Cricetulus griseus: one gene and its partners. The protein of the gene in region 3 interacts with the protein of the main gene of each other region in a pairwise test. Links are inferred from orthologs where the notes say so. Each region holds a gene or a part of one and is shown on either strand. Other genes may lie near its edges.

Region 1 (5,347 bases), on a different chromosome or scaffold from region 3:
GCTAGGGGACCGGAAGCCATCCCCTGAGGAGTTGGACCAGGGCATCGATCCAAATAGCCCTCTCTTTCAGGCAATCCTGGACAACCCAGTGGTGCAATTGGGTTTGACAAACCCTAAGACATTGCTAGGTACGTGTGTCTACTTAGGCCAGCTTGGGTAGGGGACACATGGTGGATGGGTTCCCTGCCACAAGACACAGGTGCTAGTGAGATGGTTTGGGCCCTGCTAATGTGCCATGCCAGTTGACTACTGCAAGACATTTTTAGGCATTTTAGCTGTGCTGCTTAAAGCCTGGTCCCTGGAAGTTAGGCTCCGTCTTGGTGGGATGGGTTTTTGCAGAGCAGTGGCCTGCATGGGGATAGTAGCTGAGATGGTGTGTTTCAGCTTTCCTTATTATTTATAAGGCACTTCTCTGAAAATTATTTTACTTGTTTCGTTTTTTTGTTTTTTGAGACAGGGTTTCTCTGTGTAACTTTGGAACCTGTCCTGGCACTCACTCTGTAGACCAGGCTGGCCTCGAACTCACGGAGATCTGCCTGCCCCGGCCTCCCAAGTTCTGGAATTAAAGGCATGCACCACCAATGCCCGGCTATTTTTACTTATGATATATATTAAAAATCTGCCAGGTGGTGGTGGCACACACCTTTAATCCCTGCATTCAGTAGGCAGAGGTAGACAGATCCTTGTGTGAGTTTGCCAGGCTGTTTGTAGATCTTAAAAAATTGATAGGTACTGTCTTGGGATCTGACCAGAGGACTTTTTGTGTGTGTGCTGGGGATCCAGGGCCTGGCATGCTAAGTACACACTCTGTGACTGAGCTTTCTTGTCACATGTCACTATGGGTCTTGCTGTGTGGAGGTCAGTGTGTTTTAAGGTACATTTGGTCAGGTAAAAGAAACTGGGTGTTTAGTCTTCTCTTTTTTAGACCACCATATATATATGTGTGTGTGTCTGTAGCTAGTGCCACCCCTTTCCTCCTTTTCTGAAATAACCCTCCCAGAGTGAGCACCTTAGTCTGCAACTGCTTGGGTATGGGCCAGTAGACAGGACCCAGATCATAGACTGCTCTCCCAGCCACAGTCTGTTCACAGGGCGGGGCTGCAGCCACCCTGCCTAACAGGACTGAGCTGCCTGCAGCAGTGGCACTTGGCTCTCGGCCACATCTGCACTGCAGACCCGTGCCATCTATGCAGTATTCCTGTGAAGGTCCACAACAGCCAGGATGGCCTGCTTGTACCATCCCCTGCAAGGGTCACACCCTTTTCAAGCTCTAATTAGATATTTTTGATAATGTTTAATAATAAAATTAAAACAACTACCGTGGGCTGGCTCAGTGAATAAAGATTCTTGCCACCAAATGTGACAACTTGAGGCCAATCCCCGGAACTCAGAGTAGGAGAGAACCAGCTTTTTCAAATTGCCCTCTGACCTCCTTGCACACTGAGGCCTGCCCTCCCATTAGGTAAAGAGATTAACTTAAAAAATTAAGAAATCCCCAAACCCATGGCCTTTATGTTTTAGCAGAAATATATTTTAGGAAATTTGTAAGTACAAGTCACCTTGACTCCCTTTTGGTGTGTGTCATTGTGGTGCTGCTGTTTTTCAGGTCTTGCTGGTCTGCTTAGGCTGGCCCTAAGCCTGTACTGCCCTCACGCCTTAGCCTTCCATGTGCTAGGTGTGCCACTGTTTCTGGCTTCTGGGCATTTGGATGTCTGTGCTAGTGGGACAGTGGTCCTGCAGTATTGTTTGTGTGACTCTCACGAACATGGAGGCACTGTGTTATTTTGACAGTATGGTTCCCTGTTTCTGGTCACTTAAGTTGCTTTCTGTCTAGCTACTGTAGGACCTGCTGTGGCAGCAACCTTTTCCTGTGCACTATACTTGGTGCAGCTCCTATTTCCCAAGGATGAGCAGCATCAGATGACCAAGTCAGAGGCTGGGCATCTGAGCTCTTGCTTGTCTTGTCTGCCTGCTCTCCCTTCTACCATCACCACCAACCATGAAAACACCTACTTCCTCCATTGTCAAAGGCTTGATTGCTTAACCATTTAAGAACTGTGTCTTAGCATTGTGGAATACTTTCTGTTGGCTGTCTGCCTCTTTTTTTTTTTTTTTTTTTTTTCTGAAATAGGGTTTCTGTTGTAACAGCCCTAGTTGTCCTGATACTAGCTTTGTAGACCAGGCTGACCTGGAATTCACAGAGATCCACCTGCCTCTGCCACCATGGGCCAGCATGCATCACTTTTTAAAAATACTTATTTATTATGTACACAGTGTTCTACCAGCATGTATGCCTGCACTGCAGGCCAAAAGATCCCATTATAAATGGTTGTGATCCACCATGTGATTGCTGGGAATTAAACTCAGGACCTCTGGAAAAGCAGTCGGTGCTCTTAACCTCTGAGCCATCTCTCCAGTCCCTGCCTCACTTCTTTTATGTATTGCCCCTGGATATTAGGCATATGTGTTTGTATTCCTGTATGTGCAGATGAACATGTGTCTGTGCCTGTGATGCTTGGGTGTCATTCCCCGGCTGCCCACCGTGTTTGTTAACATTATTTATGTGTGGGGGGGGAGGGTTTGCATGGGCATGTGGGGGTTAGAAGACAGTTTTCAGGAGTTGGTTTTTTCCTTCTGCCTTGTGCGTCCTTGGGATGGAACTCAGGTCATTAGACTTAGTGTCAAATTCCTTTACCTGCTAAACCATATTGCCAGCTCCCATTTTGTTTTCTGAGACAAGGTCCTTCATTTACATGGACATTGTAAGTAGGTTAGGCTGACTAGCCAGTAAACCCCAGGATCCTCCTGTCTCCACCTCCCTAGTACTGGGATTACAAATATGTGCTCTCATGGCCTGCTTTTTATTTGGGTGCTGGCGATTAAATCAGGTCCTCGTGCTTGCATGGCAAGTGCTTTTATCCACTGAGCCATCTCCCCAGTACTAATCTAGAAAAATCAGTTTGTTGGGTGTGGTGGTGCACACCTTTAATCCCAGCACTCTAGGAGTCAGAGGCAAACAGATCTCTAAGGTGGAAGCCAGCCTGGTCTACAGAGTGAGTTCCAGGACAGCTAGGACTACACAGAAAAAGCCTGTCTCGAAAAATCAGGAGGAAAAAAAAAGAAAGTTTGCATTTTGAAGAAATGCTTTGTTACATTTTTATTTTTGTGGTCTAGTGATGGACCCAGGGCCTGTGTGTGCTGAGCAAATGGTTACCGTTGAGCTGTACTGCAGCCTTCTGTGACAGGTTCACTGTGCTTGAACATGTAGGTTTTTCCAAGCTGATGGTGTTAAATCTGCTGGAGCATATTTCTTCCAGGGGTTATGCACATGGTCATTTCCTGTGGTGTCTGGAAAGGACGGTTGCAGACTGACTTTTGAGTCTCACTGGTGGCTTTCCAGAGTTGAGGTGCTGTGAGACTAGGCTGTTGACTGCCCCCACTGATGGTCTATGAGCTGGAGTCCTGTGAGCACACAGGCAGTCCATGGCTTTGTCAAAGGTGTAAGCAAGGGCAGCTGACCACCCTGCTGATGGGCCATAGGTTGGGGGTGCTGTGATCACAGATAGTTTACTCCCTGCTGATGGCCCCTGAGGTCTGTCTTTTATTCTCAGATGTGTTTGGTCAAGGGGTCAGGCACTATGGTTGGCTCTTAAGGGTGAGTGCCAGGGTCAGCAGTGAGCTCTTTGTGTCCCTGCTGCCTTTCATTTCAGGACCACTGAGAAGGGCTCAGTGTGCTCACTGGTGTTTTGGTGCTGCCATTCAACTCTGTTGTCTTTCCACAGCATTTGAAGACATGCTGGAGAACCCACTTAACAGCACACAGTGGATGAACGACCCAGAGACAGGCCCTGTCATGCTGCAGATCTCTAGAATCTTCCAGACATTGAATCGCACGTAGGTGGTGCCTACTGTGCTCCTTGGCTGTGCAGCCTCAGCAGCTTCCGATGCAGTGGGCACAGGGCCCAGCCGGGATCTTGCCTGGATCACAGCTGCAGTGACTCCCCTTTCTTGACCTTACTGCTTATCAACTTCTGCCACGTGGTTTGAAAGCCGCAGTCCTAGCTTCTGCCAGGTGTTTACAGGAAGTGGCTATTGCACTGGGAAGGTGAACGACTGCTGCCCCATCCCCTCCAGATGCTCTGCTGGGCTCCTGAAGTGCTACTTGAATTGACCCTAAGGTGTTTGCTTGTGGAGCCCACTGTATTTTAAAGAAGGCATGTTCTGATCCAAGGTGTTATGTCAAGTGTGCTAATTTAACCAGAGTGACTCACAGATGGCTTTAATAAATAAACCCTTTTCCTATTTTCAGTTGTGTTACTCCACAGCAGCAAGGACACCACATGTATTCCTCTAGGCTGTTTGCATGCTGCCTTTGCCCAGAGCAGGTGTCATAGCCACTTCTTTTTTTTTTTTTTTCCCAAGACAGGGTTTCTCTGTATAGTCCTGGCTGTCCTAAACTTGCCCTGTTGTAGACCATGCTGGCCCCAAACTCAGAGATCCTCCTGCCTCTGCCACTTAGAGTTCTGGGATTAAAGGTGTGCCCCTCCCACCCCTCAACCCCGGCTTTCATTGCCACTTCTTTACATTGGGAATCTTGATTTTCTGGACTGGCCTAGCTCAAATTAGGTTTGGGGGCTATGACATTGCTGGAACCAGGCCTTTTCCCCCTAGTACAACTGGTAGAACAGGGAAGTTTCCTTATGCCATCCTTTTCTCTCTCTTCTTAAACACTATGCTTTTATTTTTAAAAATTCAAGCGCTGGTGTGTGTGTGTGTGTGTGTGTGTGTGTGTGTGTATGTATGTGTGTACACACACACACACGCATGGGTTTGTGTGTTCGTACATGCGCCTTGTGCCACAGTGCACATATAGAGATCAAACCTACCCAGGAATTGGTTCTTTCCTTCCACTGTGGTCCCAAGATCAAGTTCAGGTGTCGTGTTTGTGCAACAAGCACTTTTTTTTTTTTTTTTTAATACCTTCTGACTCATTTTGCTGGCCATGAAGGAGTCCCTTGCTCAGTGTTACTGTGTAAAACTCTCAAGTGTATTTAAGCATCTATGAAGCAGCTGCACCTGTCTGACCTATACCTCCCAGGTAGATATAGCCACAGCCTTGGCACTCACCTTGTTGCAGTTGAATCATAAAGCTCTAAGAACATGTTTCTAGGTGCTGGGGAAGTAGCTTAGTGGGTGAAGTACTTGCTATGTAAGCATGAGGACCTGGATTTTAATCCCTAGCACCCATGTAAAAAGCCAGGTGTGGTGCACATGCGTGTAACCCCAGTGTTTGGAGAGGGTAAGTGGAGTTTTGATCTTGGAGGTTAACAGTAAGCTGGAAAGTGGT
Region 2 (5,246 bases), on a different chromosome or scaffold from region 3:
TCAAGGGTGGCAGCCCGAGCCATCTCTGGGGGAAAGAGTCCTTCCAGATGCAGTTCCTCCAAGCCTCGAAGCCCAAACACCCAGAGGGGCACCTCTCGGAGCTCCTCAAATTTGACACAGATCACCTTCAGGCGATCCCGCAGGAAGATCTGTGACGAGAAGGGCAGCCTGGCTGGGGAGTGAAGCAAGCTGATCTCCTGAAGGTTCACAAGCTGGGAGAGCCCTGGGGGGAAGGAGATGTCACAGATGGCCTCGAGTCTGAGTGCTTCCACTTCACTGAGCTCAAAGACAGTGTCAGGCAGTCCAGGGAGCATGCAAAGGGCCAGCTCCAGCCGGCCACGTGCGTTGCGCTGCAGCTTCTGCCTCAGCTTCTCAGGTGTCCACTCATGGTTGAGGTTGAGTTGCTTCAGGCGGCTTTCACTGACTTCAGAAAGGAAGACTGCAAACCGTTTAGAGTAGAGGGAGTCGTACTGGTCAATGAGGTGGAGCATGAAGGCGAAGTCATTCTTAACATCCGGGATGTCATTCATGCCCGTCTCCTCACGCACAGAACGGAAGGAGTATTCTTTGAGGGGCCTATGGAAGAGCCAGTAGAGTGTATACAGGCAGGTGATGCCATAGACACACACAAAGGAGATGTAGCAGAAGGCCAGCTTAGAGAAGAGGTGGGCCTTGGTGTGGTTGCAGCAGAAACTGGCGTACCCTGTGACCTCCGAGGTCTCTACTCTGCAGGCCACCAGGAAGCTGATCTTCTCCACATAGACCAGGTTGTAAACCAGGATGGCAAAAAACTTACACACTTTGAGCACCGTCTGCCGGATGTACATAGAGTAGAGGATGTCACCCTCTTCCACGTGCACACGGAACTTCTTGACTTTCTCAAACAGGGCCTTAGCTTGTTCGCCCTCCTTCTTGTCCAGCAGGGTGACGACTGGAGGCTCAGTCACCACCTTTTCTGGCTCTACCAGCACTTTCTCCTTTTCACCTTCACCTGCCTTTCCTGAGCCTGCCCCTGTTGCGGATACTGTGGTCACCACGGCCCGTCCAGCAGCTGGGCCCTTGTGGTTCTCTCCAGACACCTCAGACAAGGCCCGAGTGGTCCATGGGGAATCAAAACACTTGCCCAAGATGGAGATGAAGTGTTCAATCTTGGAGCTGGTGCCAGGGAATTTGAACCAAAAGCTGGTACAGACCATGAAGATGAGAGTATGAATGACCACCAGGTAGGGGAAGTACTTGGCATACCAGTGGAGGGCTGTCTCATAGCAGAGCTGGTTAATAAAGCTATACTGTTGGAGATCTAGGTTGTTTTTAAGGCCACTCAGCTCTCGGAGGCCCCCCATCTGCTCAGAGACCCCCTGAGGCAAGAGCTGCTGGCAAGGAGCCTCTGATAAGTTCTCTCGGGGTTCATGGCTGGGCAGGCAGATGATCTTGTCCTGTGTCACCTGGGGAAAGGAAGAGAGTGAGAGACAGTGAAGGAACTGGGGAATTGTACAGAAGAGACACAGAATGAGGTGGAGACACTGAGCCTAGACTGCGGTCAGCTGTTTGAATGTGGAAGAACTGTTAAAACTTCAGCATCAGCATCAATCTTCATCTGTAAAGAATATTGGGGGTGGGCGGGTAGCTAACGTGGTAGAGTGCCTGCCTAGCATGTACCCATTCTGATTCTCACCAATGCATAAACTGGGCTTGGTAACACATACCTATAATCCTAGCACACAGAAGATGGGAGCCAGAGAATGAGGAGTTTAAGGTCATTCTTGGCTTCATAGAAAGTTCAAGGTCAGCCTAGACACTCTGATTCTTGAAGCTGGAGCAATGACTGCTCTTCTAGAGGTCCTGAGTTCAATTCCCAGCAACCACATGGCAGCTCACAACCTTCTATAATGAGATCTGATGCCTTCTTCTGGTATGCAGGCAAACAAGCAGACATAATACTATTTACATAACAAATAAATAAAATCATTTTTTAAAAAAGACGCTCTGTCTCAAAAAAAAAAAAAAAAAAAAGGAGGGGCTGGAGAGATGGCTCAGAGGTTAAGAGCACTGCCTGTTTTTCCAGAGGTCCTGAGTTCAATTCCCAGCAACCACATGGTGGCTCACAACCATCTGTTATGAGATCTGGCCCCTCTTCTAGTGTGCAGATATACATGGAAGCAGAATGTTGTATACATAAATAAAATATTTTAAAAAAAAGATTGTGAGGGTATATGATTGTGTTGAATTGTGGTCCCACAAAAAGAAACTAAATCCCAACCCCTAGTGCCCGTGACCTCATTTGGAAGTAGGGTCTTTGCACAGGTAGTCATAGTAAGGCTATGATGAGTCCCATGAGACTGTATCCTTGCAGAAGTAACATAGGGCAGAAATGGACCTCACCTGGTAGACTGCTCACCCAGCATGGTGAAGCCCTGGAGTCCCATCCCAACACTGCATAAACTGAGTGTTGTGTGCACATGTGAAATACTAGTACTTGGGAAGTGGGTGCAAGAGGATCACAGTTCATCAATTTTTTTTAAGCTCTGAAACCAGACATGGTGGTGCACACCCTTTAATCCCAGCACTCAGGAGGCCAGCCTGGTCTAGACAGTGAGTTCTAGGACACCCAGGAATACACAGAAAAACCCTGTCTCAAGAAACCAAATAAATAAAATTTTTAAAAAAGTTTAAGGTTCTATCAATAACAAAATTCCATCTATAAGACAAAGAAGTTGGGCCTGGTGATGCTAGCCTATAGTCCTAGCTACTTGGGAACTGAGGCCTGGGCTTCAGAGTGGGTGCAACTTCTAGACAACTTCAATAGACACTAGACAAAGGGTGTGAGTAGGTAGGATTCAGCTCAGTGGTAGAGTTCTGGTCTATAGAATGCCCCGCCCCATGAGGGGCTTTGACTTTGCCTCTGCAGTAGAGCCCTTGTGTAGCACTAGAAGCCTTTAGTTCTATCCCCATTGCCACAAGAAAGATAAAAGTGTGTGTGGGGGGAAACACCCTAATATTACTGTAGACTATAATGCCATTGCCCTTGGAGATGGAGGAGAGGAAGGTAGGGGTCAGAATAGGTCTGTGTGGGCTTTGGCACTGGCTCCCTCTTATTTGTCTCTTATTTTTTTTTTTTTTGAGTTTCTTTTATTGTGATTTTATTGTCTCCATACCAAGAGCAGCTTAGAACTGGATCACCTGGCCCTTTCTCTTCTTATCGCCTCCCAGTTCAAAATGCTTGCATCTCTTAATAGCCAGCATCCTCTTAGATCTGCAGTTGGGCTCAACACACTCAAGCCTCAGCACAATCTTCTTTGTAGTTTTAGCCTTTTTTCGGAAAATAGGCTTAGTCTGCCCACCATAGCCACTCTGTTTCCTGTCATAACACCGCTTTCCCTGGGCATACAAAGAATCCTTGCCCTTCTTATACTGTGTCACTTTATGGGGCTGGTGCTTGCCACATTTCTTGCAGAACGTCCGGCGGGTCTTAGGAACGTTCACCATGTTGGCGGGAGCGATATTGGCACAGAAAGTTCTCTTATTTTATTGGTGATATTTTTATTGAACCCAGGACCTCATGTAAGCTAGGCAAGTGCTCTAATACTGATATTTTTTCCTTTTCTATGTACTTATTTCATTTTAGAGATAGGGTCTCACTGTGTAGCCCAAGAGGTCCCAACTCATCCTCTGTGCTATGATTCCAGGTGTACATCACCACACCTGACTTCAAATTTATTTTGAGATAGAGTTTTGCTAAGATGTCTAGGTTGACCTCAAATGTGTGATCCTCTTGCCTCGGCCTACAGAGTCACTAGGGTTATAGGCACTTGCCAAGATTTCCAGGCTCTCTGTCTCTCTTCTTGGGTGACTTGAAGGCTTCAGGACTTCAAGTACAAGGCCTACCCCTTTAGAGAGAGCCACCTACCTGGAGGGTGCAATTGACGACACTTCCGCATCTCATCATCATGGTGGGATTGTACCCATCTGTACAGTACAGTTGAAGAACCCCCCAGATCATAAGCACTGCCATGGTAAGACCATGCCCTCTTAGAGTTCTGCCCTTCATGTGGAAAGTACAGCTCAGGATCCCAGTCAGGGGCATAGCCATAGTGAAGTCAGTTGCCTTCATGGCAGTAGGGGCTAGAGAGTGGTTAAGAACTCTTGAACCCCCCACCCCCCAAAAGCAGCCAGCAGTGGTGGTGAACACCTTTAATCCCAGCACTCAGGAGGCAGAGGCAGGTGTATCTCTATAAGTTTAAGGCCAGCCTGGTCTATAGAGCGAGTTCCAGGACAGCCAGGGCTACATAGAGAAACCCTGACTCCAAAAAAACAAACAAATAAACAAAAAACAAACAAACAAAAAAACAAAGGGGAGAAAAAAACAAAAACATCTCTCATCCATAACTCTAGTTCCAAGGAATCTAACACACTCTTCCTACCACTACATGTGGTGCACATACATACATGCAGGAAAACACTCTAACACATAAAAGATAATACATCTTTAAAAAAAAAAGACCCTCATGAGGAGCATTGTCAAGGTGTGGTGCCACTCCTTCACATCCTTACCACTCTCTGGCCTCCCCCATCACCTGGAAAGAGCAATCTGAGACCCCAGCCATTAGCATGGCCATGAATATGGCCACTGTGAGACCCCATTCCTTCATACCCTTGCCCTGTCTGCTTTGACTCTTGCCTAGAGAGCTCATTGCCACAGTGGGGTCCTGCCTCTTCACAAGGGTCACCCCTTGTCAAGAGGGCACCTCTTAAAAGCCCAATCATAAGTATTTCCAGCTGTGCAGCCCTGCCCCTTCCTCACCTGAAGAGTGCACCCGAAGACCCCAATCATGAGCATGGCCACAGTGAGGTACTCGGCTAATACGTCCCACCAGGGTTTGAGCACCTTGAATGCAGGCTGCTGTTCTGTGAACTGCTTGAACTCTGCCACTGGGATCATCCCGCCTGTAGGAGTCAGGAGACAAGAGGGGTTGAGACATAGTGAGAGCAAGGTACCCCTGGCAGGAGAAACCCCAGAGAGACCACACACAGGTCAGTGCCCCCAATACACTCTTAGCCTTGCTAGAACTTTCTAGAATCTATGAGGTATATGCTCTCTTCCCTTCCTAGCCTGGGGCTTTTTGCTTCCTTCAGAACTCTCCTCCTTCCCAATGTCTCAGCTTTTCCTGCTCCGCAAAGCCCCTGCTTATCTTGCTCTGCCTGTCGTCCCAGAACTTATGGCAGTAAAAACACGGGGCAGCTGTGCT
Region 3 (6,016 bases):
CGTAAAGTGTTTGCCATGCAAGCTTGGGGACTGTAGTTCTGATCCCTAGAAAAAGCGGGGCGTGGCAGCAATGTCTGTAATCCCAGATCTAGTGGGCAGAGACAAGCAGAGCCCTGACTCACTGACCAACCAGGCTAGCCAAGTTGGTGACCCCATGTCTCAAAAAATAAGGTGGACAGGAACCAAAGAAGGCACTGGCCTCTGGTCTCTACACACACAGACACACACATACACACATGCTTGCACACTGTACCCACCCCCCTCTCCCAGCAGGATCTTTGGGTTAAGTTAGGAGCCTATTGTCATTCATCTGTACTTGAATTCGAACTGTTACTGATGACTCAGCTAGAAGAAAGAGGGCAGTCTTCCTATGAAATGAAAACAGGGTGACCCACTTTCAGTTAAATCAAGCCTGATCCCAGGGGAGCCACTTTGTAAATTAGAAGCCTGTGTGTGTGTGTGTGTGTGTGTGTGTGTGTGTGTTGTGTGTGTGTGTGTGTGTATGGGTGCGCACATGTGCACATTTGAAGGGTGAGAGCCTGTCCTTTAACTTCAGTCTCCAGGCAAAGGTGTGCCCAAGTTCCCGAAAGCTCTGCTTCCACTGCCAGGGATGGATGTGTGTGACAACTTCCTTTGATGCATTGGCATTTCCATTCAGATGTTGATTTCTAAGCAGAGCTCCTCAAGTCCTCACTCTCTTCAGCTTTGATTTGGGCTTTCAATGTTCCAAAGGGCCCAGTCTGTCTGTGTGAGCAGCGTTAAATGGAGGAGCTAATTGACATTTACCTTGTCATGCCCTGGAACAATCAAGATGAGTGGGGTCTCTTCTCCCCACATCCATCACTGTGCCATGGCTCCTCTAGGCTCCCTCTGGAGACTACCAAAGCACAAGAAAGGCAGGGAGCAGCCATGTTGCTGAGGGGTGGGGATCCCTTCTGGGAGCTGGGAGGGGCTGACAAAAAGGGAGAAAAGTATTTCATCTCAGAACTCCCCCAAACACAAGCCCGTGTGATAATAACCCTCCCCTTGCCTCTGGTACATAGGAAGCATGCTGTTTCTGCTGTGAGTTAGAATAAGTGCTTCCTTCACTGATAAGTTTCAAGAAAAAGAATAAAAAGGGCTTAGCAGAGAAAGGGAAGATATCCAAACTGAAGGCAGAAGAAGGCAGAGAAGTGGCTAGAAAGACTGGCATACAAAAAGTAGCAATGCGTGGCTCCTTCAAGTGATGCCATTTGAATACTTGGCTTCCCCACACCCCTTATTCTCTGTTCTAATCTAAGGCTCCAAGTTTCAGGGGGAAACCTGATCCATTGAATTCAGACAACCTGCACAATAGGAATACTCAGAAAACCCTAATAGCCACTGGCCGTGTAGCAAACTATGCTCTGACCTGAAGCACTCCTGCAGTAGTCAAGTAACAGAGGGAGGCCACGGATTTTTTTTAAAGCCACTGCAGATGCGCTCAAGTTAATCATGCTGCTACAATTTAGAAGTAATAGACTCAACATTTTGAAGAAATAAACTGTGATCCAGTTGGGGGCCTTGCTCTAAGAGTGTTTGTTTGGCAAGCACATGGCCCTGTTGTTGGATCCTCAACAAGGCAGGGGCTCACTCATGTTCACATAGCCCCACCTCCTTTCTGGCAGACAAACAAAGATAATTTGCATCATTTTTCAAAACCTAAAACATTTCTTTCCCTCCTGTGTGTTTTAATATATAAAAACATTTGTCAGAGCATTAGTATTATCAGAGAAATAATGAAAAGAGGCAAGGAGATTCTTAAAATTTAAGATTTGGTAATTTTTTTAAAAAAATGGCTTCACAATTAGGGTTTCTATTCAGTGCAGGCAGATAAGAGTGTTGAATTTATAGAAACCAATGTCAAAAGCTACCCAAATGAAGGGTATTTTCATTCTTGAGACAAAGAATAAGTGTTTTTACTTTGTTTTCGTGATCCCCACTAATCTTTTGTTGTCCCATACATTTAAAACATTAAGTTAGCTTTAGGACTGTGACATCCTCAGAGGTGAGAAGGTACACAGACTTGCCCATCTTTTTAAAAAATGTGTGGGTTAAATATGGTGCATTCATCAATCTTCAAACAGCCCATTCTGTCAGAGGATTTTTTACATTGTCTTGCAATCTTTGCAATGCAAATCACTTGTCTTTTTAGAAGAGCTCTTTAGAGGGCCAGGAAGGGCTGTTAACGAGGGTTGGAGGGCCGGGCACCAGAGGAGCTTCCTCGTGCCACAGCATACATGAAACTTCTCATTGTGTGCTTGCCGGCTGGCCCTCCAGTGGCCTGAATTATTTAACACTACAGTGGGTCCGAACAGTGCCGGCAAAAGCACCTGCCTAAAAACAAGGCAAGTACTCTGAAAATCAGTTCACACTATGAGAAGCAGACTCCAATTTAGGGATCCGAGCAAACAAATGGCTCTTTCTATATTGCAGTGTTCAAAAACCTCTAGTAATTTACCCATGGAATAAAGCAGCTGTAATATAAGCTGAACAACTGATAAGTTTTTTAAATGCCTCATTCAGAGTCTCTATCTTGGAAGCTGTGACACTGAACCCATTTTTTATTCAGACACAAATATTTTCTTTTGGCTCCAGAATTCATTTATTCAACATTCAATTTTTAGTTGGAAACAAATAGCCTTCCTACTGGCTTTCCTATTGCTGTACAATGAAGATTAATGTCAGGGTGGGGCATTCTTGCAGAAAAAACTCTGACACAAAAATTACCCATGATTCGAGGAAGCAGAACTAAGGGCCAACCCAGGAATTTCTCTCCCTCTAACAGTCCTTCCATTGAGCTCCACCCAGATTTGATTGTACTCCCATAGCAGGAAAATTTGTCAGAAAGAAATGTTTGATGCATCTAGAATCCAGGGGGTCGAGTCATGCATTATGAATGAATGGTTTCCAATGGTAACTCGGAGGCCAGGAGCTCAACCCAGGGCAGAGAGCCGGGTGGGGGAAGGGTAGAATCGCACATCCTCCACCTAGGAGTAGCCAGGAAGCAACCCTGTAAATTCAATACTTCATCCAAACATCAAGATGCAGGAAATGTAATTCTACTTGAAACAAACCAAGACAACACTAAAATAGCGACGAATAAGGTTAAAAATCTAATCCGTTCACAATAGCTTTTTCCCCATACTTGCTGATTTGATGCTTTTGTTTAGGCAGTGTGGGTCTTCCCCTATTTTATAATTAAAGAGCATGCAGCATCACCATGAAAGGGAAGCTAGAGCAGTAGGAGCAGTTATCCGCCAGAAATAACAGCAAGCAATTGGAACACTGAGGTTCCCATTTCTCCCGATAAACAGAAAAGTCAGCGAGGTAAAGAAAGACAACCCCTCCAGGCTATCGCTGCAGCTCCGCGGCCACCCCAAAGAACAATGCACATTTCTGCTACCGTCTCAAGTTTGGAAGCACCATGCAAAGAGGCTGGTTAAAATTCCCTACCATGCAATGCAGCCATCATCAGAAGCCCAGCATTATCTTCTGCTCTAAGTAGAGATGTGCCAGCTCATGAACAGGACAGAGGAAGAGAAAAAATGGAGGAAATGAGAGAAGGCTCAGGAAAGTCGGCAGGAATGTTTCTGGGTCATTAACAAGTAGGAGACCCCCTTCCGTATTCAGACCAATCAATCTTTATCTTACAGGACATCTTTTTCTCAGCCGTCTGTTGAAAGGACTGCAGCAAGCCACACTGCAGCAAGGGATTGTGGGATAGGGATGCAGCAGCGAGCTGCAAAGAGATTCGCGGGTGGCTGGCTTTCCCCTCTGAGTCAGCAGTCAGCTGCTAGCATGCTCCAGTGCAAGGCCGCCAGGCTCCATCCCCAAACCCGACTGCAGGATTAACCCCAGGAGGCGTGGAGCACCAGTCTCCTTGCCCTGTGGACAGGACTGGTACCCACTGAAGGGTATTACGAATCAGAAAGAAGCTATGCTGGTCATATAAGCCAGTGCTAAGGCAGGAAGAATAGATTCCAGAATTGATGAAAAGTTCAGATTTAGAGGAGTGTTTTGGGTGGGTGTGACAGCATGCATTTTCATCAGTTAAACTAAAATTTGTTTCTTTGGATGTAGATTTTGCAAGTAGATTGAAAGAAGGGGGATTGTTTAAAATGCAAAATCAGTTCGGCTCCACAGCCTCTTCTTGCTCCCCACCCAATGTATCTCCGAGAAAAAGGTCCGTGCAACACAGTTCCACAAAGTCAAACAATACAGAGGACATTTCTCTGCTTTTTATGGTTTTTTGTTTGTTTTGTTTTGTCTTTTTTGTTTTGTTTTCCAAGACAGTGTTTCTCTGTGTAAAAGTTCTGACTGTCCTGGGACTCTCTTTGTAGACCAAGCTGGCCTCAAACTCACTGAGATCCGCCTACCTAAGTAGTAGCCTAAGTGCTATTGACAATAAGAAGAAGACATTATTTCAAAATCTGCTAGCATATTCACAGATGTGGATAACTATTGCCATACTCAACTGTTCAAGGTTTTCACTACCTCAAAACCAAATCAAACCCTGTAGCTTTAAGCTGCCACCACCTACCTTTCTAATCTACTTTCTGTATAGACTTCAACTTGTAGGGGACTCAAATACAAAAAGATTTTTCTGCTCTAGACTCATGGCAATGAAGTCATGTAAAATATTGTTATATATGTCCGGCCTTTTCCTTTCAGCACATTTTAAAAGTTCATCCATGATAGCATATATCAGTATTATATTCCCTTTATTGACAGTATCCCATTATATGAGGATAGAACTTTGTAATCATTATCTATCTATCTATCTATCTATCTATCTATCTATCTATCTATCTAGACAGGGTTTCTCTATGTCTCCCTGACTGTCCTGGAACTCGCTCTGTAGACCTGGCTGACCTTGAACTCAGATATCTGCCTACCTCTGCCTTCTGAGTGCTGGGATTAAAGGCATGGACCACCACTGCCCAGCTGCAATTACCCATTCTTAACAGTTAGTGGACATCAGGGATGTTTTGACTTGGGGCTCTTATGAATAATGCTACTGATAAACATTTGTGTACAGGGTTTTAGGTGGACATATATTCTGCCTCAGAAATTTATAATGCAGTTGGGATCAATTCTTAAAACTACAAGCAGGACCCCTCACATCAGTTTACAAAGTCCTTTCCCTAAGACAGGCCATCACAAAGGTGTCTGACTTGGTATGTTGGGAAATGATGCCGAAGAAATGAGGCAGGAAGTGGGGGTGGTCCTTAGTCTTATTGCTGGGCTTGTAGTTAAAGAAAGTGCACTTATTCAATCCTTCCATGACACTCACTGATTATCTAGTGTGTTTCAGGCACTGAGTAGGTCCTGAAGACATAAAAAACTTAACAGACTCTGAGCCTTTATGCCATAATCAAATACAGAAGATGGACTTTAGCATGCAGGCGGTTATCTAGTAAGAGTAAGTCCTGACAGCAAGAGGAATGGGGATGCCCTGGGCAGCCATGGAGGGATGCACACAGGACCCAGCACAAGCAAAGGCTGGGAGGTCAGCTAGATCACTGGAATTGAGAGTCCTAGACAAGCACTGCTGGAGTGTCCTCTCACAAATGTGGATATTATGTCCCCCCCCCCCAAATGCCCGTGTATTAAAGGCTTGGTTCCCAATGTCCTAGAGTTTGGAGGTGGGGCTTCTGGGAAGTAATTGAATTGTGAGCACTTTGACTTTATTGAGGGATTAACCCCCTGATGGCTTCATAAATTTGATGGCATTGTTGAGAGAGAGGTACTGGAATTAGGAGGTGAGCGTGTCCTGAAAAGATGAACCTTGTCCTTCTGTCCTGCGCTCTCACTTTCTGGCCTACCTGAGGTAACCAGCTCTGCTCCACTGTGCCCTTTCCCATGTTGTACTGTCTCACCCACAGTGTTGGGTCCAAGCAACCAAGGTTTGAAACTACCCTGTATAAGGTGCTGGGTTTGCTCTCCATAACAAACAAACAATTAAGGCACACCATACCTTACTAATCCCTCTGAG

Evidence for each region.
Region 1: the proteins of Trim2 (region 3) and Ubac1 interact in binary tests that used the Homo sapiens proteins (3 or more experiments, as listed by UniProt). The link is inferred for Cricetulus griseus from reciprocal best matches to the Homo sapiens genes TRIM2 and UBAC1.
Region 2: the proteins of Trim2 (region 3) and Lrrc8e interact in binary tests that used the Homo sapiens proteins (3 or more experiments, as listed by UniProt). The two-hybrid records come from large-scale screens. The link is inferred for Cricetulus griseus from reciprocal best matches to the Homo sapiens genes TRIM2 and LRRC8E.

The regions. Positions count from the first base shown.
Region 1 is NC_048599.1:137,378,355-137,383,701, reverse strand, and holds the end of Ubac1 (ubiquitin-associated domain-containing protein 1), read left to right. Parts: coding exon 1-128; intron 129-3,782; coding exon 3,783-3,898; 3' UTR 3,899-4,304; downstream 4,305-5,347.
Region 2 is NC_048597.1:89,040,946-89,046,191, reverse strand, and holds part of Lrrc8e (volume-regulated anion channel subunit LRRC8E), read right to left. Parts: intron 4,945-5,246; 5' UTR 4,940-4,944; coding exon 4,802-4,939; intron 3,524-4,801; exon of another isoform or gene 3,487-3,523; coding exon of another isoform or gene 3,166-3,486; exon of another isoform or gene 3,107-3,165; intron 1,446-3,106; coding exon 1-1,445. Other genes in the region: 60S ribosomal protein L36a-like, read right to left, coding at 3,166-3,486. UniProt on the Homo sapiens protein: Non-essential component of the volume-regulated anion channel (VRAC, also named VSOAC channel), an anion channel required to maintain a constant cell volume in response to extracellular or intracellular osmotic changes.
Region 3 is NW_023276806.1:70,190,271-70,196,286, reverse strand, and holds the start of Trim2 (tripartite motif-containing protein 2), read right to left. Parts: upstream 3,726-6,016; 5' UTR 3,673-3,725; intron 953-3,672; 5' UTR 838-952; coding exon 787-837; intron 1-786. UniProt on the Homo sapiens protein: UBE2D1-dependent E3 ubiquitin-protein ligase that mediates the ubiquitination of NEFL and of phosphorylated BCL2L11. Plays a neuroprotective function. May play a role in neuronal rapid ischemic tolerance.